Linked DNA regions of Drosophila melanogaster. The protein of the gene in region 3 interacts with the protein of the main gene of each other region in a pairwise test. Each region holds a gene or a part of one and is shown on either strand. Other genes may lie near its edges.

Region 1 (6,057 bases), on a different chromosome or scaffold from region 3:
GACTTGGCTTGGCCACGCTGCCTAGTTATTAAAATAGAAATTACTTTGACTTTGGCTCTGATCGCGCAAAACACAAAAAACAAAAAATAACATAATTGCTGTTGTAAAATGTTTTGATTTCAGGCCTAATGGTGGTCATTCGGGGGAAGTTATTTTCGTACTTGTAATTTGGGGTGATTTTCTGGGGTTATTAGAGTTTCAAGTATTTGCTTTGGCATCATAAATGTCAAGGCAGCTGAATCTCGATTCTATCTTGATGATGGGGGATTGGCAAATGGTGGTTAAATTGAAAAGTGAAAAACGAACAAGGGTTATAAAAATATCAGTGGTATGATTTGCTAAATCTGATAATATTGAATCATCGGGGTTTAAAGTTTTTTTTTATTTCTTTGTGGTAGATTATACTGGTCATTGTGAGGTAGCTCCCTTTCTATTCCCTTGCTATAAATCATTATTCGATTAATCAACATTTTCGCTCTCAATTTTTCTCTATTCAATTACCTACCATTTATGTTTACCACCACACTTGCCACATCGCACAAGGCTCCCGAAAAATATTGCCCCATGTTAGCCAACATAATTTGCCCAATCCTTGCATAACTTTTTCTAATCTTACCGAATTTCAGTCATCGCAATATGTTTATGTTTATGTCTAACGTGGAAGACATCGTCGGCGTCAATAATTACAGAATCGAAGATATATATATATATATATGTACATATACCCATATACCACACATAAAAAGAGAAAGATAGAGCGGGATGCCAGCTCCCGCATCTCTTGAGTTTTCCTCGACTTTTTTGGGGCAGGCACGCCACATGCTTTTTAACCTTGATTAAGTTGACGTTCTAATGATGCTGCTAATGGTGGCAATGATGTTCTTAATGATGATGCCACTGATGATGATGCCGCCGATGGGATGGGGCTGCTGAAGATGCTGCCGCAACATCATTAACAACATTATCAGCAACAACAAAGGCGGAGGAAAACTTCACGAGTATTTTTTGTTTTTAATTGCCGCCTGGCACTTAGCTAATGTAATTTATATTACATCTAGCTGCCGCTCTAAAAGCTTTAAGTAGCTAAAAAGGAAGAACCAAAACACCAGCAACAGCCAAAGTGCAGCATCCAAAAGTCTTGGAGGTTGTAAAAAGAAGTGTGAGCTCGCTCGAAAGACGTAAAGTTTTGTTTATATTTACCTAACATTGTACTTGAAAGATATTTTCGTTCTTTTCTTTTCTCTTCCACCTTTGGTTCTGACTCAATCGCTCTGCCCCTTCTATTTGTTTATCTAATGGCTAAAAAATATTTAAGCTGTAAAATTTGTAGCTCTCTGATGGCTAAAACCTGCTGCTTATTCCTTCGGTTTCCTATTTACGAAGGTCATAAATACCTTCGGGTCAGTGAGTGAGAAGTAAAAGGTTCGATTTCGACTCGGAATCTACTTCATCCTGAAGTCTGAAAACAGTTGCCATAATTTCAATTTATGCAAAAGTGGGTGTGGGGGCGGAGTGACCTGTCCCACCTGCCCCGCATATTACCTGGCTTTTATCTTAAATGTTTTTTCCTGTTGGTAATTAAAAAGTTTTCTGTTTCAGACCCAGCTATGTACATAGCTTCCCCTGCTCAGTTGTCTGCTTAGCTAATGCAGGTTGGAAGTTTTCGGCTTCGGCCTTGGCGTTTTCGGGCCTGATAACAACAGAGAGTGGGAGCTTTAATGAGTGGGGATTTGCTTTAAGATTTCGCCTCGAGGTTGTTCTCAGATGGAGATAATGAAGGTCACCAATAGAAGATGGAAGCACAGAGTGGAAGGCGCAACATAAAGATAAGCTCGTATTAAAATAATACAAAATCGTTTCTATGGGGATGATCATCATTGAAATAGTTTATAATGTCGGAATATTGTTTATAAATACACAGTAACTCTGAAACCCATAAGGTTACAAAGCTTATTTGGTTTAATGCCGCTAAATATTTTTGTTCTTCTACAGCCATTTCCTTGAAGTCTTCTTGAGTTCGGTCCAAACTGTATACACCTTTCGAATTCCTCGAACTTTAGTACATCCCAGCATCTTAGACTTACGCCAGCTCACGTCTAACCCATTCCCAGTTGGCCAGGCCAGTGGGGCCAAGTTGACATTCCTCAAAAGTGTCAACGAGAAAGGCCCACAACACGAGACATTCGGACCGCTCAGCCGCCCAGTCGGCCAGCTGCCCGAGCCTCCAAACTGAGCCCCACCTCGTTCATTCATAAAGATCCACATCTCCATAAAGAGGGGCAAGCAAACACGAGTCCAGGCAGCACCTAACAAGTTCCCGGAATCGCACAAACCTCGAAAAGTTCTTTAAGTTTTTCGCTCTAACGAAACCTGTTCCCCAGACAGAAACCCCAAAATTGAGACGGCTGGCCCTGGACGGAAACTCCGAGCGAGTCTGCGGCCCGAGACATAATTAATGATTTCAAAATTTCACAACGAAAACTCATAAAACTTATCGATCGAACATTGAAACAACAGCAGCAATAAAAGAAAAGAGAATGTCATGCTGCTGTCAAGGCGTTTTTCTGGCCTTAAAGAGCTTCTTCATTAAGTGTAACGGTAATATCTGATAAGGTCAATCTTTAGTTATGCATTTTATCCTGTTTACACACTATTTTAAACAAATTATAGTAAAACAACCAATTTACGCCTTAAACTAGCTATTTTTTAGCTATGTAGCGTATGCTCTAAAGTTATTCATATGTGAGGTAACGTAAATTTGCTTAGATTATTGATTAAAATTCAATGGTTATCAATCAAAATATTACTAAATTAGCCCTATTTCAGTCTAGTTGTATAGCAATATTCTCTCCATCACTAAAAACCATTTTTCTTCTTTTTCATACTGAATATCAGTATTTTCTTCTAACTATATTAAAATATATTTAAAATGCTGCGCACCAAAAACAAAAAAGTAAATATAAGGTATTAACTAAACTAATTAATATCAGTACTAAACTTAGTAACATCACAGCACAGAATAATAATTAGGCACCAAACGAAGGACTTACCGCGATAATTTTGGCAATTCGTGGCTAGTTTGTTAGCACGCACTGTTGTCAAAACAAAAATGTTAGCCCAAACACAACGTTAACCGAAAGCACAGCTACAAATCTTTGAGATACTATTTGGCGGATAGTCTCCTCGCTTTTTGTTTTCATTGATGAAGAAGCGGCGCGGGCATTTCATTAATTCTGCACACACGTTTCGCCGATGACGATTGACGATTGACGATTTTGCTATTTGCGATGACCCGCGTGCCCCGCCCACAAAAAGCAAGTTGCCCGCACAACAACAACAGCTACAACAGCGACCGACCGATGGTGGTGGTGGGTGGGAGAGGAGGTTGAAGAGAAGGGTGAGAATTTGCACGCGCGAATCTGCTGAGCTGTCTGCTATAAGGAAATAACGGTGCGCTCCACAATGTGTCCAAACACGTTCACGATTTTTTTCGAACTAACGCTGTATTGTATCTGTGTACGCCACGAACTTCAAAACCTCGATTCTCAGCCGCTGTTAAGTGCCGAAGTGAGCTAACAGAACACGAGAGCGGGAGAGCAAGACCACGAGGCAAACACATACACATACGAAGAGAGTGTGATTGTGTGCAACAGCACGAACGCATACTTCGGCTTTTTGTGCAAAAATCATATGGGATGCTCTCTCGCTCAGATAACGGGGCTTATCTGAGCCGGCAAGACTCAAGTTGGATTCTCATTGAGTCAGATAAAGTGAGACTGGATGGTTTGAAACCACGCTAACTAAAATATCATCTCAAAGGACTGAGTTTTGAAAGGATCTAAAGTTATATTGTATAAGTATTGTTATCCAGATTGAATTAACATTCAATCATATTTTGTTCGATATATACAGGTTTTCAATAAAGAAATAAAAGAAATTTTCATACCCTTTATCAAGTACCCACGAAAGTTTTGGCTATAAATTCATTGCAGAGCCTAATACAATTTCTTATCAAGCCGTAAACAAAAGAAAATCTTTGATTTTCCATTAGTCCTATCTCCCCCCATTTTCTATCCAATAAGATGTCGTACTTCCGCCGCCCACAGCTAATTAGCCTTCACCGCTCACATTGACCGGTCCCAATTAGCCCTGCCCATAGAGGCTCCAATAAGTTCATTGCTCGCCCAGCACACATATGTAACTTTCTTATCAGATGCGATGCTAAGTAAAATAAATAAATAAAAAAGAACCAACAACAACGACATGTAAATCTGATTTTTTGGGAGCGGTTGCAGCAGAGACACCAATAACGCCTAAAATGAATGCAAATGGAGCAGTCAAAGATAAACAGAGAGGAAAATTGAACGGAGAACCGGCACCACTCTCTCGCTCTTAGATAAAATTCCCAACTCGATTGGGTTTCCACCAATTTTCTCTCTCGGAAAACCACACGCGTTATCTGGCTCTCTTTCATAGTTCGCCTAAGCGCGGCTAGATGGCGCCAATGTGCTGCCGAAGTGCGAATTGCATTTCAGATGCTTTTTGTTTACCAACGAAAAAGTGGGTGGTGTTTGTACGGTGAAAGGGGGGAGGGGGGTGTCGGCAAATGCGGTTGCATTCTTGGAAATGTTTGCAAAAACCGTCGCCGGTTTGCTGCTACCACAAATGCCGCGTAATCACTTTTTGCGACTACGTCGACGTCACCGGAAGTTGCAACACGTCGCCGTCTACGCACACAAACGTAAAAACCTACATACGATGCATATGCCGTTAATGCCGAACTGCCACACCCCAGCAATTGCAAATTTCATCCCACCCCATGCCAACGCCTTGCAAATTTTCAAAAAAAAAGAAAATCGAGGGGGAAAGAAAGTTGGGAACCTTCGGTGGAGTTGAGTTATCGCTCGCAGTTTCATTGTACGCCCCCCACCACCCACAATCTTTGCACTCTTTTTGTGAACACATGTGTGAACAACTGCAGTCGGCAAACCACCCTTTTACGTACACTGAGAAAAATATCCGATATATTCTGCAAATTAGTATTGGCCACGTCTAAAAATTTAAAATTCAAAATTTATTATAATGAAAGAAAAATTCTGTAGTCCAAATAAAATCAATTCTTTTGTTAGTATAAGTAGTAGCACAGAGTGCACTCTCACATGGTCGCAAGTGCAATTTTTGTTTCAGTGTGATTGCTGCTGCCCCCCTGCATCCTCGGGCGGCGATTAATCATGAAAATTCACACAGAAAATATCCATTAGATACGAATTAAGACATAATTGAGAGTGCAGGCAACGTACACGTACACTCAAGAACCTGCAACGAAAATGCAGTGGAAAGGGGTGGCAGGGGGTTGGTGTTTTCCTCCCCGTGTGCAGCGACATAAATGCGAGAGGCTGCCTCAAGTGCCAGCGACATATTTATGATCCCTGTTCGGGCACAAAAAAAAAAAATGATTATGCGATGAAAATGCCCCAAGGCCCGCACATTAAACTCCCATTGTTGAGCGAACGAACGGATTGCAAACGGCTTCAAGAGTCGATGAGCAGCAGCGTTGGCTTTAATTACAGTTTGAGTGGCACTGGAGAAGGTCCTTGAAGGAGTTTTTGATACGCTGGCGTTGTGCCGCATCGCAGTGCCACATTTTTGGGGGATGCACTCCACCGATCACACGAGCAAATAGCTTAGAAAATGACGCATTCACGCCACTTCACTACACTTAGCTTAAAAATTAACTGCAAACGAGGCATTTTTGCATAGTATTTGTATTTAGGTGGTATTTGATACTTAGCAGTTATATAAAGGTGTAAATTGTTTTAATATGCTACCTATGCTTTCAACGAACCTACCAAGGTAAAAAGGGCTTAAAGTTCAAAGTACAGTTACGGTCGCTAGCCGCTTGCAGTGTTGGTTAATGCCATCTAATTCGAACACCTGTTGGAATGCACCCACTCCACCGCTCACATCAATGTCAATTTGTCGCTGCCACACGTGGCAGCTACAAGAATTTTGTAAATGCAAAAAAAAGCGCACTAAACACGAAACAAAAATGAAAAT
Region 2 (4,316 bases), on a different chromosome or scaffold from region 3:
CCGCAAAACGTACCTTTTTGAAATCTTCGAATTTCCAGCATCTCTATTTTGAACATTGCTAGCGTATTTTTGCAGAGATCTTCAAGCAAAACATATTGGTTCCAAAAGTAACTTAATTAAAAAAGCCATTTCTAAATGAGCGTTGTATATGTTTTATAGGTAGAAAGATTAGAAGTGTTATCTTGATATAACATTTATATTAGCTGAAACATTGAATTCCAATTCTAGTGCTTGATATTGCAGAAATTAATAAAAGATCTATAAAATCAGTTCGCGATGTTCGTCTTGAACAATTCAAACTGTAGACGTTTATATGGTGGCCATCTTGTAACATTGTAGCCATCTATCGCTCGCGAATGGGACGGCACTCTTTACTGGGGTTTTGTCTTTATGTACTCGTGTGTCCGGCACTGATTAGTGGCTCTCCCTTATCGCATATGCACACATATGCTCTCCGCAATGCCAACTTCTTGCGATCACCTTTGAAAATATGCTGACGAAGGCAGGAGGCAAAACGAAAAGCGCAGCGAAAAGTTAACTAGTGGGCATATCTGGGAATAATGAAATACAAGCGACTGATTACACACGAGTGGCGGCTTATAATTATATTGATTTTAATATAAGTTTTAGAGAGACTCATTCAGTCCTCCCAAACAGCAGAAGCCGGAGCACGTAAGCACCGGCGATCTAGCGCCAAAATTAGTTAATATTGGAAAGTGTGCGATTTGGGGGGGATTAAATATCGTAGTTTATGTGATTTGTACAATCGTTATTATCTCTGCATGCCGCGTGTCAAACTTGTGTTATAGATAATCAAAATCCATTTTCGAATTCGATTCGTTTGTTTTGCCACGTTGTTTGTTTCTGTGATTTTGTTTGCCCCCCCAATAGCATGCTGAAATGCAGAAAGTAGAACCATAAACCGAATACCATGATTTCCTATATACCATCCATTCAGACGCGAACCGCTAAAAGCCAAAGAGCCCACAGAACCCAGCCCGTAAATTAAAGCCCCAAACAGAGATTAGATCATGGCTGAGGATCCGGTGAACCAGCAGGCATTCGCTGAGGACGTGGCAGCTGCCGCTGCGGCTGGAGGAGCCGGCGGTTTTGCCGGTCCCGAGCCCGGACATCCCGACTTTAAGATGCCCAGTGCCGAGGAGATCTGGAAGCTGGTCGAGGGCATGGAGGGAATTTCGGACGACGAGCGAGCCGAGCTCCGCGAGAGCATCTTTAACCCGAAGCCGCCGTCGCCGGAGGACTTCATGCGCCAGTACGGGCATCCGGGCCACAGTTCCCGGGAGTACCTGGTGTTCTTCGTGATGCTGGCCCTCATACTCATTGTCTTTGGTAAGCGTCCTCCGGAACGAGCCACTAACGAGTCGTATAACCCTTATCGGGCGCGATATACGCACCCACCTGGGTTTCTGCTTAAAGGGCGATAAGGTTTTAGGAGGCGGCTATGTCGAAGCACTCACTCACTCGCTCACGAGCCACAGCTAGAATGTTTGCTTCGTTTAAAAGCGTTCGATTTTTGATAAGATAACCAGTGGTAAGCGTAGGATCCACCGCAGACATAGGTAGAGTGGAATCCAAAGAGCAGTATTTGCCAGAGACCCATGCCGGGCTGTAGTTGACACACCACTTAGCCCCTTTTCCGAACAACCCAAAACATGAGTTGGTCGGGTTCCAGTGACGAGCTCGGGGTTATTGAGCAGCTGAAAAAGTCCGTGGAGTCGATCGTGGCCAAAACTGGGCCCAGCAGCAAGTTCTCCAAGGATCTCGTCCAGCGGATCGGCGAGATGCAGAGCAAGCTGGAGTCCCTGGCCGAAACGGATCGGCATGTGTTTCTCGCCGAGATGAAGGACAAGTTCCAGCAGACGATTGGCAGAATCGAGGAGCGAATAGTGCAGCACGCCCATTTCGCACAGACCTACTCCAGTTCCATAGTGTCGGCAGTGATCTTTCTCTTGGTCTCCATATTCGGTCTCAGTTCCCTTGATCGCATAATGTATCAACGTCACCTTACTAACCGTCTCCCTTCTTTCCGCATTACAGCTCTCTTTGGCTACAAGCTGTACAAATCCCTGACGGAAAAGGAGCTCAAGAAGCAGGAGAAACTGAAGAGCAAGCAACAGAAGAAGGCCAAGAAGTCAAACTGAAGGAGATGGAGGCGAGGATATCATTGACGTAGTGCACTTTCCGGCCCTGAGACCTTCCATCTTGTTAATCAATACAATCGCCCTGTAAATGACTAAATCATAAACCAGTAAACGTAATAAAATAAAACGTACCCCATAACTCTTTTAAATGCCACGGTAATTGTGTTGTTACGACGAGTCGAATTAATTGCCATTAAAATACGGCATCAGGAAATGCAAATCGGTGTCGTGACCTAACTTGTTGCTGCCATCTAGGCAATCCGTCCAATCCTGGCCTCCGTTGTCATGGGAAACGGGGTCGTTTTGTCGAAGCTTCTCCTGTCAGGCCAGCTATTAATAGTTAAATTCAGTTTCCAGTTACCCAGTTAAGCAGCAACACTCGGAAAGGATCAACAATTTTTGCGGAAATAAAAAACATGTCCTATTCCAGCCGTAAGTTAAAAGCTCAACCATGACTTATCTATTAATCTAATGTGTCAACATGCCCTTCTAGGATTTGGTTTCGACTTCCATCTGCCGGATGAGGGATGGTGCTACCCGAAGAACGACATGCATTTCATCCGCAGCGCGGAATGGGTGCCCGTGGAGAAGGCAGGCGTGGGCCGCTCATTCGCCAATCCCAATGGCGTGATCTATCCGCGGGTGGTAGGCATGATTCCACGCTACGGCGGCCACGTTCCGGGCAACAAATTTCGTGTGGGCAACACCTATGGCCGTTCCACCATCGACGCCAAGCGTCATCTGGCCCTCAATCATGATTGAGGACCGAGTTATCGGAACACTCACTCACCATTAGCCAATCAAATTCGCTGTGTTACGCTTACAGAAGCACCCGAAATAAATCGTATCCAGTAGAAGCCTGTAGAAAATGGCAAATAGAAATAAAATCATACAAATTCAAATGTCCAAGAAAAGCACATTTAATTTATGATGGCTTTTTCGAGCAATAAAATTAATTAAACTTTAGGTCACAAGATAAGAATATATTCGTTATGGTACACAAGGTGCCAAAAACACTTTTCTCCTAACAAATATCAAGAAAAGTAACTATAATTATTGATCGCACGCGAAAAATTTTAAAATAAAATCTCAAAAAGTATTTATTTCATTTATTATTTGACTTTTAGTACATTTATTACAACATTTCTGTAAATGCTTCAATATTTTTTTATAATAATAAATACTTCTTGTTAATTTTCAATATTTTTAGAAATGAAAGGAGTGATATGTATATTTAAACGCCTTATGAGAGTATCAAGTATCAAAAAGGCGCGCAATTTAAATTCTTGCTCCGCTGCAACTGTCTGTATAACAATATTAAAACATCCTTACTTTCCTAGCTTTCTATTACTAATGTACTGTCGGTGCTTGGGGTCATATATTTTTAGATTTTTCATAGGAATTTTCATCTCAGAAAAATTAAATTAAACCGAAATCACGTAGTGTTACCATAACGCAATGAGAGCAAATACTCTGTTTTGTTTGGATTCCGTTGGGTATTTTGGGGACTGCTGGCGAAAGTCTTTCGAGAGATAACGAGTAAATAAGAAATCATCGTTAGCAAAAAACTTTTTTGAGAAGATCACCTAGCAAACCGACTGATTATCTGTAAGATACGAAAACGAGCTGCTTTCCCAGTAGCAGAGATCGGCGACTGATCCACGATGGGCATCAATTGCCTTAACATCTTCAGACGTGGCCTCCACACGAGTTCCGCCCGATTGCAGGTGATCCAGAGCACCACGCCCACCAAGCGGATATGCATCGTAGGCGCCGGACCCGCCGGCTTCTATGCCGCCCAATTGATCCTCAAGCAGCTGGACAATTGCGTGGTGGATGTGGTCGAGAAGCTGCCGGTTCCCTTCGGACTGGTGCGGTAAGCAGAACAATCTTTATAAGGCGGTGCTGTTGGCTGCCAGGCCAAAGCCAAATATTGGACCCACTACGGAGCGGAAGATGCCAGTGAAGTATGCTGAAGAGATCGACATGTGTGTAATCCTTGCCAGAAATCCAGGGGTAATGTAAACATACCTCCCACCTGGTCAAGACTCCACAGGGGATTGGCTGCAATCAGTGACGGAGTGATGATCACCAAGAGACACAAGCTGAGTGGATTGCCGCCTAGCACCTGCATCTTGGAATACAAACTGTGAC
Region 3 (8,269 bases):
TGGCTCCTATCGATCAACTGTATTCACGGCAGTCCAGTTTCCTTGCCTCTTAAATAGACAACTGTGCGCCAATCCACAGCGACGGCAGTTGTTCAAATAATTTCCATAATTAACTTTGTCGGTTTTTATTGTGACGGCTCATATCACAATTGATAGAGCTACCAAATAATTTGAATACTTTAAAGTGAATCAAGGGAACAGGCGAAGTCATACTTTGCCGTTCTGACTTAAAATTAGTCTAAAGGCAGATAGAGTTTGGTAACGAACGGCGCAGATCTTTAACTCAATCCTAAATTCTAATCTTGGGCAAGACTTGATTCTAACTCTTATGCAATTTGAAGCATATCTACATCTATATATTTTTATACCCGTGACTCGTAGAGTAAAAGGGTGTGCTACATTCGTTGAAAAGTATGTAAGAGGCAGAAGGAAACGTTTCCGACTGTATAAAGTATACATATTCTTGATCAGGATCAATAACCGAGTCGATCTAGACATGTCCGTTTGAACGTCGAGGAACTATAAAAGCTAGAACGTTGAGATTCAGCACACAGATTCTAGAGACAGATATTTGTTGACCTTTGTTACCACGCCCACTCAAAAATTTTACACAATTTTAAAAAATGTGTTGAAATTTTTTCATTTTTGATTAGTCTTGTAAAAATCGATAGATCGATTTTCTAAAAAACTTTTTGCAACTCCCTAAAACCGCCCAAAACAGCCACACCCAGAAAAATTATGAAATTTCGCGTCCGCATTTACACTAGCTGAGTAAGGGGTATCTGATATTCGGGGAACTCGACTATAGTATTCTCTCTTGTTTATATTTAATATTTCCATGATATACATATAAACTTACGCCATCGCATAAAAAAGTAAACCCACTAATATTTTTTACATATTTGGTGAAAACAATTTTATGCGTACTTAATAATTTATTCGTAGTGTTTCTTCTGCCTTGTTAACAATATGATCGAATTATAGTAATTTATTGTTCCCTTGATTATATTTGTATTCTTGATCATAAACTTTTATTCAGAATCCAATATCACTTTGATAGTTTATTAATATTATTGAAGCCCATAAATAATATGGGAGGTTAAGACTGTCCCCTGAAATACCGCTTAAAATAATTTTTCTAGCACCGAGGTCAAACCGCCCATGTTGTTAATGTTAGTAATTGTACGAAGTAAAGTTAAAATATTTCGTTAACAGCTGTATGACATATGCAAAAATGGGGCTGACCTCGGAGTGTTTCAGTCGCAGTCTAATCATAAAGTATGCTGCTACGGTGAACAGCAAATAAAAACTCATCAAGCAAGATAGAGACCACAAATAGTGCATGTTTTCGAATCCTAAAAAGGCTAACAAAACTTTCGACTTTTTAAATGAGCAAAAGATTTCCGTGTCTTCGCAAATTGTGTCGGCGCGTCCGTAGTCGTACAAGGATGCGACTAGGCCTTCCATACTATGGCGAAGGTAGCTAAGATGCATGAGAAACCTCATAAGAGGGGATATGTATGTTCCTCCGCCATACCCAATGCCGTAAATGGAAAGCAGGATCAGCGGCACGGCGAGAACTGGCCCCATGAACATTGCATTCTAAAGTATAAGTGAACTAATCAGGATATATTAAAAATAAATGTGCGCCAAATCGCTTACCACTAAGCTCAGTCTACTGGAGATCAACAAGCCAAAACTGTCGGAAGTTAGGGCCGTTACGAAAGCTATTGTAAATAGCATGGCAAAGCGGAACCATTCAAGTGGTTGGCTGGACATTAAGTACACAATGGATAGATAAATAACGGCCAAAATAAACATAGATGGTAGCTTTGAGGTAACCATTGCTGCGTAGTAGGAGCTCAGACGGTACCACTGGTTGTTGTACTCCCTTTTTAACAGATTGATTTCCGTGGGAACTTAAATGTAGGTATTTATTATTAAGAATTACTGCTTGAGGTTAAAATATAGTACTTACAATATAAGAGCACAGGCATCATAGGAAGGTAGAGGTATGCTATCACAATGGTGAACATGAAACCGAAGTTAAAAAGCGCTTTAGAGGCCGAGGTTCCCATACCAAAGTAGAGCGAACCCACCAGTAAAGCAAGAACGATGTTCATGTAGAACTTAAGCTTGATGTACGACTACGGAAAAAATAAAATTACATTGCCTTTCTACGTCGTTTTCTAAGTGCACTCACCTTATCTCTCCACATTTGGATTAGCATACGCACAAGCAATAGCTTGTACTGTAGCCACCAGCTACATTTGGCCTCCAAAAGTTTTGGGCTAATCTCTTCGTCAAACTGATCCCTTTCGTAAAACGACGATGCCCCCGATGTGGTGTCGGTTTTGGTTGTTGTTGTTTCACCTTCCACTGCTGGAGGACTCCATCGCGCAACTTTGCCGTTGCCCACGGCTTCTACCATTGGCTCGTGATAGGACCCGCCATACTCAAGGCAAGCAACTTCGATAATGAAGTCAGCCGGGTTGTAGGTTATTGGACAACAAAGCCCAAAGTTCTTCAAGAAAGGTACAATGTTGGACCCCTTTCCTTGGTAGACGCACTGGCCTTCGGCTAGAACGTAGACTGCATCGAGCATCTCGAAGATCTTGGCAGATGGCGTATGGATGGAGCAGATCACAGTGCGCCCCCCGGCGGCCAAAACTTTGAGTAGGGCAATGCATTGTGAACTCGATAAATCGTCTAAACCACTGTTGAGTTGGTGGTAACATTAGTTCTTCGACTTCAATATTTATCTTATACTCACGTTGTAGGTTCATCTAGAAAGATGACAGGTGGGTTGTTGACCAGCTCAAGGGCAATGCATAAACGCTTTCGCTCACCCCCAGATAGCTTTTGAGCCATGGTGTTTAGGGTGTCTTTTAGGCGCAACATTCCCAAAATTTCGTCAATCTGCTCAAATGTTAAGATAAATACACGACAAAGTGCATGATTTAAAATCAATCTTACCACTTCTAGCTTTTGTTTTAAATTTAGTTCTTTTCCCAACTTCAAGTTTGCCGCCAAAATCATCATTTCTAGTACGGTAAACTGTGAGTCCAGGACATCAGTCTATGAATTACACCAATATTTATGGGAACGCAATTCAGTAATCCACTTTTACCTGCATTATATATCGAGACATTTTGCGAAAGACTCGCATATCTCGCGGACTGTTGTTTACCAAAATCTCGCCGGATTCGCACACGGCGCTATCGGTAAATATTAAAGGAGTATTATAAGGGGGTCGTTTGTGTTATATCTTACCCAAAGCCCGCCAGCAGGTTTAGCAGTGTGGTTTTACCAGCGCCTGAAGGCCCTATAATCGCAGTAAGTTCGTGAGAGTGAAACATTCCATTGACTCTCCGCAAAATCGTCTTTGTTTTTGAAGCTGTGGGGTGTGATGACCATATTAAAAAGAATAATTTTAATGTTTCATTGTAAGGGAAGATGTCGGCATTAATTTATTGTCGTTAATGTGGAATTAGACGGAAATTGCTATTTAATATGTGCATGTTCAGCATTAGAAATCAAGCGAGCTGTGGAAGCAGTAATTACTTCGAAAATGTGCAATTACCATTCTTAATACCCCATTATCAATCACGAATATATTCATTATCAATTACTCAACCGTAATAGACATAAGCTGATTTGATACACTCACCATTGGTCTGGTCGGGAACCACATAACATAGTTCCGAAAACTGCAAATTTACCGCTGGCCAGGATGGCAAATACTTGAGGCCGAGGACTGTTTGAAAGTCCTCAGATTGATCGGGCTCGAGGCTATCGGCGTTAATGTCGCTGCTATATTGAAGGGAGCTGATTTGGGAGGTTGTACTGCCTTTTACGCTGCTGGCAGTTTCCATTTTAATATTTCTAGACTTCGTTGTTGTTTTGAATCGATGTCATTGCTCCTTGAGAAGGAAAATGGTGATTTTTTGATAAGAAATTCAATAATTTCACTTCGCACTAAAATCGCTTATAAGAATTGATCTGTTTACCGTTCACATAATGCTTTGCTTTTAAAGATAACCTTTTAAGGTGCTCGTTCGAAATCTGGAATCCTCGTTTTAAGGCGCAGTTTTATTTGCACTATACACTAGAAATTAATTGGTTAACAGTACAAGAGAAGGCAGTACGTTTTTTTGGCTTAAACCAGTTTGATAAACTCATCATCAACTCATGTGTCGTTTGCTTGCTACCTCAATTCAAGTTAATTAAAAGCGGTAATTTGCATTTCTAAAAATTACTTACGCGTATCTGGGACCACGGAAAGCGCCCTCCCTTCGTTCTGGAAACAAATTCCGAACTGACCGAAGAACTTTTTAAATTAATTTCATTTACCCTACGAAATGCGCGATCGTAGTCTCTGAGCGCAGCCCGAAAACAAACTCAGATTTTCAATTGATGGAAAGCAGTACACAGTACATGCACGACTGACAGCCTGCTCGAGTTCTGACCGAATGACTAGTCGTCTGACTTCAACGACGGCCCGGAGATCTGACGGTCCGGGTATATGCCGACCCAGTCAGGGAATGGGGGAAGAGCAAGTGGCATGGCGAGCTGCTGAGTAAAGGCAATACAAACCGAAACTGGGCAGTCGATTTGCAATTATTCCGATGCAGCTTCAACACTACAGAACTTTCTGAGAAATTCGTGCGTTATCAGCGAGTGGGTGAACCCATAGCGGAAGTTTGGATCGGCACTAGATTTAAGGCGGTCGGGCGGACAGTACGGATGCGCAATCTTTACGTTATTATTCACTCTTTATCTTCTTTTTACTTTGACTGATTGCGGGTCTCATGTTTTGGCAACCGAACCGCTTTATCTGTTGAAAGCGTCAGTCTATGAATACAAATTTAATTGTGAGTCGGCCTCACCATTGGCGCCACTTTTTGATACCGTTTAAATCAGTTTCGTTTAGCGTCTTGCGAATGCCGTATTATGCTGCTCATAGCAAGACGTTTTTTCTTGCTTGTCTAGGGTATACAATATGCGACTCGCCGGCAAATCATTTTGGCCGGTGCTGTGAGTAATGGTGCATGTAAAATGTACTGAAGCGAGAATATTGAACTGTGATACATGCATCAAGAGTCCAACGAATTAATTTCACGTACATGTATATAAAAGATTAGGTATGTAAATAAATCCTTATGTTTTTAAATAATACAAAACTTTTCAACCAAAGGTCTCTGATAACAACTGTCTTGGCTGACCCAGAAATCGATTCAATAATTGTCTTTGCTCGTGTCACCCAGAAGCGGGGTAAATAATAGTCAAAAACTTCTTTCGTGCTTGTGTGCAGTGCTGCAAGCACTGTCGCAGTTGTTTTCGACTTCGAGTTCAACGAACGCGTTAGATACAGCCGGCGTACACTACTATTTGCAGCTGCGTAAATGCACCACTCACTGGCTCTGACGCTGGCGCTGCAGCGGGTGTATCGGTAGAGCGATAGGGGGCACTTACTCCACTTTCTTTTTGTAGTTGCTGCTGTCGCTGGCTTTTTTCACTCTTTCTCATGGCGGCAACCACGCCACAGCAGCGAAGAAGCGTCGTCTTGTTGCACCGACGACCGAATATGTACTAAATGCGAGTGCAGGAAGACTGCGGCAGTGACTGCTACTGCAAATGCTAGATTTACAGAGGCGAAGTCTAGTGCCCGGGCCGAATTCTTCTGCCCTTCAGAAGTCTAGAGGCTGGCTTCAGCTATAAAAGATCAAAAACTTGTTTTGCAGCCCATTGAATCCGATTCGAAGGATATGGCCAGTCTATTTATACCGATTCCACTCACTCACCACTCACAAATAAAAAAGAAAGAGAGACCAGGCTTTAGCTTCAGTCAAGTCCTTACCTTAATTATAGTAGCTTAAAATTTTGAGTACGATTTCCAATTAGGATTTTGTTAAGGATCGAAATATTATAAGTGACATTCCTTTAAAATTGAATACCAAACACTATTTCTGAATGAAATTAAAGCAGGCACATTTATAGGAAGGGGTCCCCATAATTTCGAACAATTTAAGGCATGTCATTTGCAAAATTTTAAACTCCTAGCAATAGTGTGAACAAAACAGCGGGATGTTTATGTTTTCATATCTGGGATCCCACTTGGAAATTTACAGCATTCGTATCCCATGTGGTGAATGCTACAATGCTAAAACCTTTTTCAAATTAAGAAAATAAGATATTTTTGCGACGGTGGTTTATGTGTATGTAAGTAAATGCTTGATTGCTTGAATAGACGCCCCAGAAAAACGTTGTCGTCCACTGCAAGCGATTCGAATTTAAACGGCCGACTCGCACGACTTGATTTCGTTTTCCGGCAGATGGCGCTCCAAGAGCTTTTAAGTAGATAATGCCGTTGATCACAAAAAATAATGGGTATCATAATCTCAAATTGTCTAATTTCAACTTTTTAGGTAGACATCTTTATTTGCCCCAAGAACACGTAGTTTGTACAGTATATATTCAAAAATGTTTATTCTAAACCTGTAATAAGAAAATATTACAAAAAATTCCAAAGGGTCTTAAAGTACCTTGAATAAAAATATTAATGTATATAGACACAAAACATGTTCGTTTTTAATTTAAAGTCATTCAAAAATCCTTCGGTAAATACAATTGGAAATGTTATTCAGTTATTTTTATTTAGAAAATTGGTTTCACGTTCAATAACTTATTTCATTATACGATTCACTTATATCAATGATGTGCTCCAACAGTGGTTTGAATTGGTTTTACTACATATGCGGCTGGAATCAAGCTGATTTAAGATAAGAAACCTCCTTGCGTTTGTATCACTTAAAAGAAGAATTTCGCGACTAAAAACTAGACAAAAAGAAATTTGTAAAAGATTAATGATTAAGAACAAAACCCAAGACGCTTTTTTGAAAACTACAATATAAAGTACGTACATAGAAAGCTATTAAATCCAAAACAACATTTAAAATTATGTAATATGCTTATCGCACAGTCTTCAGCTTCCAGCGCAAGAACAGGTATGCCGAGATGCGCAGCACCACGAAGATCACAATTAGGGCCACAATGTCGAGTGTAAAGTTAGCGTTAACCATGTCCAGTTCCTCCAGCGTGGTAATAGGTGATTTAAAATGGCAGTAAGTCTGGAAGCACCTAAGTTTCTCCCGTCCGTAACCGTAGGTGGCCAGAGCTGTGCCCTCGAATCCATATCGTATGTACGACAAATATGTGATCCACCTTAAGTATACTGGTATAGCGTCAAAGGAGACAAAGAAGCCGGAGAACAGAAGGAAGGGCACGGACATCACTGGGGCCAGGAAGACACCGTTCTGAACATTCATTGCAGCGCCTACCACCAGACCCACGGACTGAGCAACGAAAGAAATGAGAAGGCAGGCCGACAAGAACATGGAAAAGCGGAATAGCTCCCAAGGTTGTGAAGTGAAATAATACACGATCGACACGTAGATAACGCAGAAAATAGCCTAAAAGAAACAATTATTTTGTATTAGTAACATTCGCTCTACTCAACAGCTGAGTGCAACTCACTTGAAACGGTAAATCAGCAACTGATATAGCCAAATAGTAGGACTTTAGCGAGTACCAGCGATTAAAGTTTTCTTTCAACAAAACGGGCATCTCAAGCGGGACTAGAACACACAAAATAATATATTAACTACAGAGAAAGGAATATCAAACTGGTTTCCTTACATGATAGGATCGTAATAGTCATAGATGTATACATGAGGAAAAGCATGTTAAAGAATAGGAATCCCAGGTTGCTCAAAACTTTTGCTCCATCATTGCCAATGTCATAGTAGAGTGCCCCAATCAAAAATCCAACTAACAGATGGGCAAATAAACGCAGATACATAAGAGTCTATAATAAAGAGAAGCAATGTTTACTAAAATCCTGAAAAGCACCATTATAAGTTTTCTTACCCAATCCCGGTAACTGAAGAGTAAAGTTCGCTTAAGAACCACCCAGAACTGGTGAAACTGCGATGTTGGATATCGCTCTGGTGATGTTATCTCCTCCGTAAGCAAGGCAGTGGTGCAGTTTACGGACTTCTCCACATCGATCATGGCATCTCCCCTTTCATTGGTAGTGACCAAGGCAGAGCTAACGTTGCCCTCCTTCACAATATCATTGACCATGCCGTTGAGCAAACCGTTGTTCAAGGTCAAATTGTCCTCGTACTTGCGACCGCTGACACTTGAAGCGTCGTTCTTATCGAGAATAGCCTTCAGGTTTTGCACCTTTACCAAATCGTTGCGAGCC

Evidence for each region.
Region 1: the proteins of CG4822 (region 3) and caps interact in a two-hybrid assay, tested with the Drosophila melanogaster proteins (one large-scale study listed by BioGRID).
Region 2: the proteins of CG4822 (region 3) and CG18336 interact in a two-hybrid assay, tested with the Drosophila melanogaster proteins (one large-scale study listed by BioGRID).

Annotation. Positions count from the first base shown.
Region 1 is NT_037436.4:13,226,134-13,232,190, reverse strand, and holds the start of caps (capricious), read right to left. Parts: upstream 3,500-6,057; 5' UTR 3,051-3,499; intron 1-3,050.
Region 2 is NT_033778.4:11,292,528-11,296,843, reverse strand, and holds CG18336 (uncharacterized protein), read left to right. Parts: upstream 1-2,257; 5' UTR 2,258-2,578; coding exon 2,579-2,594; intron 2,595-2,655; coding exon 2,656-2,924; 3' UTR 2,925-3,068; downstream 3,069-4,316. Other genes in the region: CG42336 (uncharacterized protein), read left to right, coding at 1,674-2,162; CG30033 (uncharacterized protein), read right to left, coding at 4,055-4,134, 4,194-4,296; dare (defective in the avoidance of repellents), read left to right, coding at 3,827-4,038.
Region 3 is NT_033779.5:116,158-124,426, forward strand, and holds CG4822 (uncharacterized protein), read right to left. Parts: upstream 5,598-8,269; 5' UTR 3,876-5,597; coding exon 3,671-3,875; intron 3,398-3,670; coding exon 3,274-3,397; coding exon of another isoform or gene 3,270-3,273; exon of another isoform or gene 3,219-3,269; coding exon 3,131-3,218; coding exon of another isoform or gene 3,113-3,130; exon of another isoform or gene 3,079-3,112; coding exon 2,977-3,078; intron 2,920-2,976; coding exon 2,774-2,919; intron 2,718-2,773; coding exon 2,204-2,717; intron 2,148-2,203; coding exon 1,979-2,147; intron 1,920-1,978; coding exon 1,663-1,919; intron 1,603-1,662; coding exon 1,174-1,602; 3' UTR 922-1,173; downstream 1-921. Other genes in the region: CG3164 (uncharacterized protein), read right to left, coding at 6,972-7,472, 7,537-7,637, 7,699-7,867, 7,930-8,269.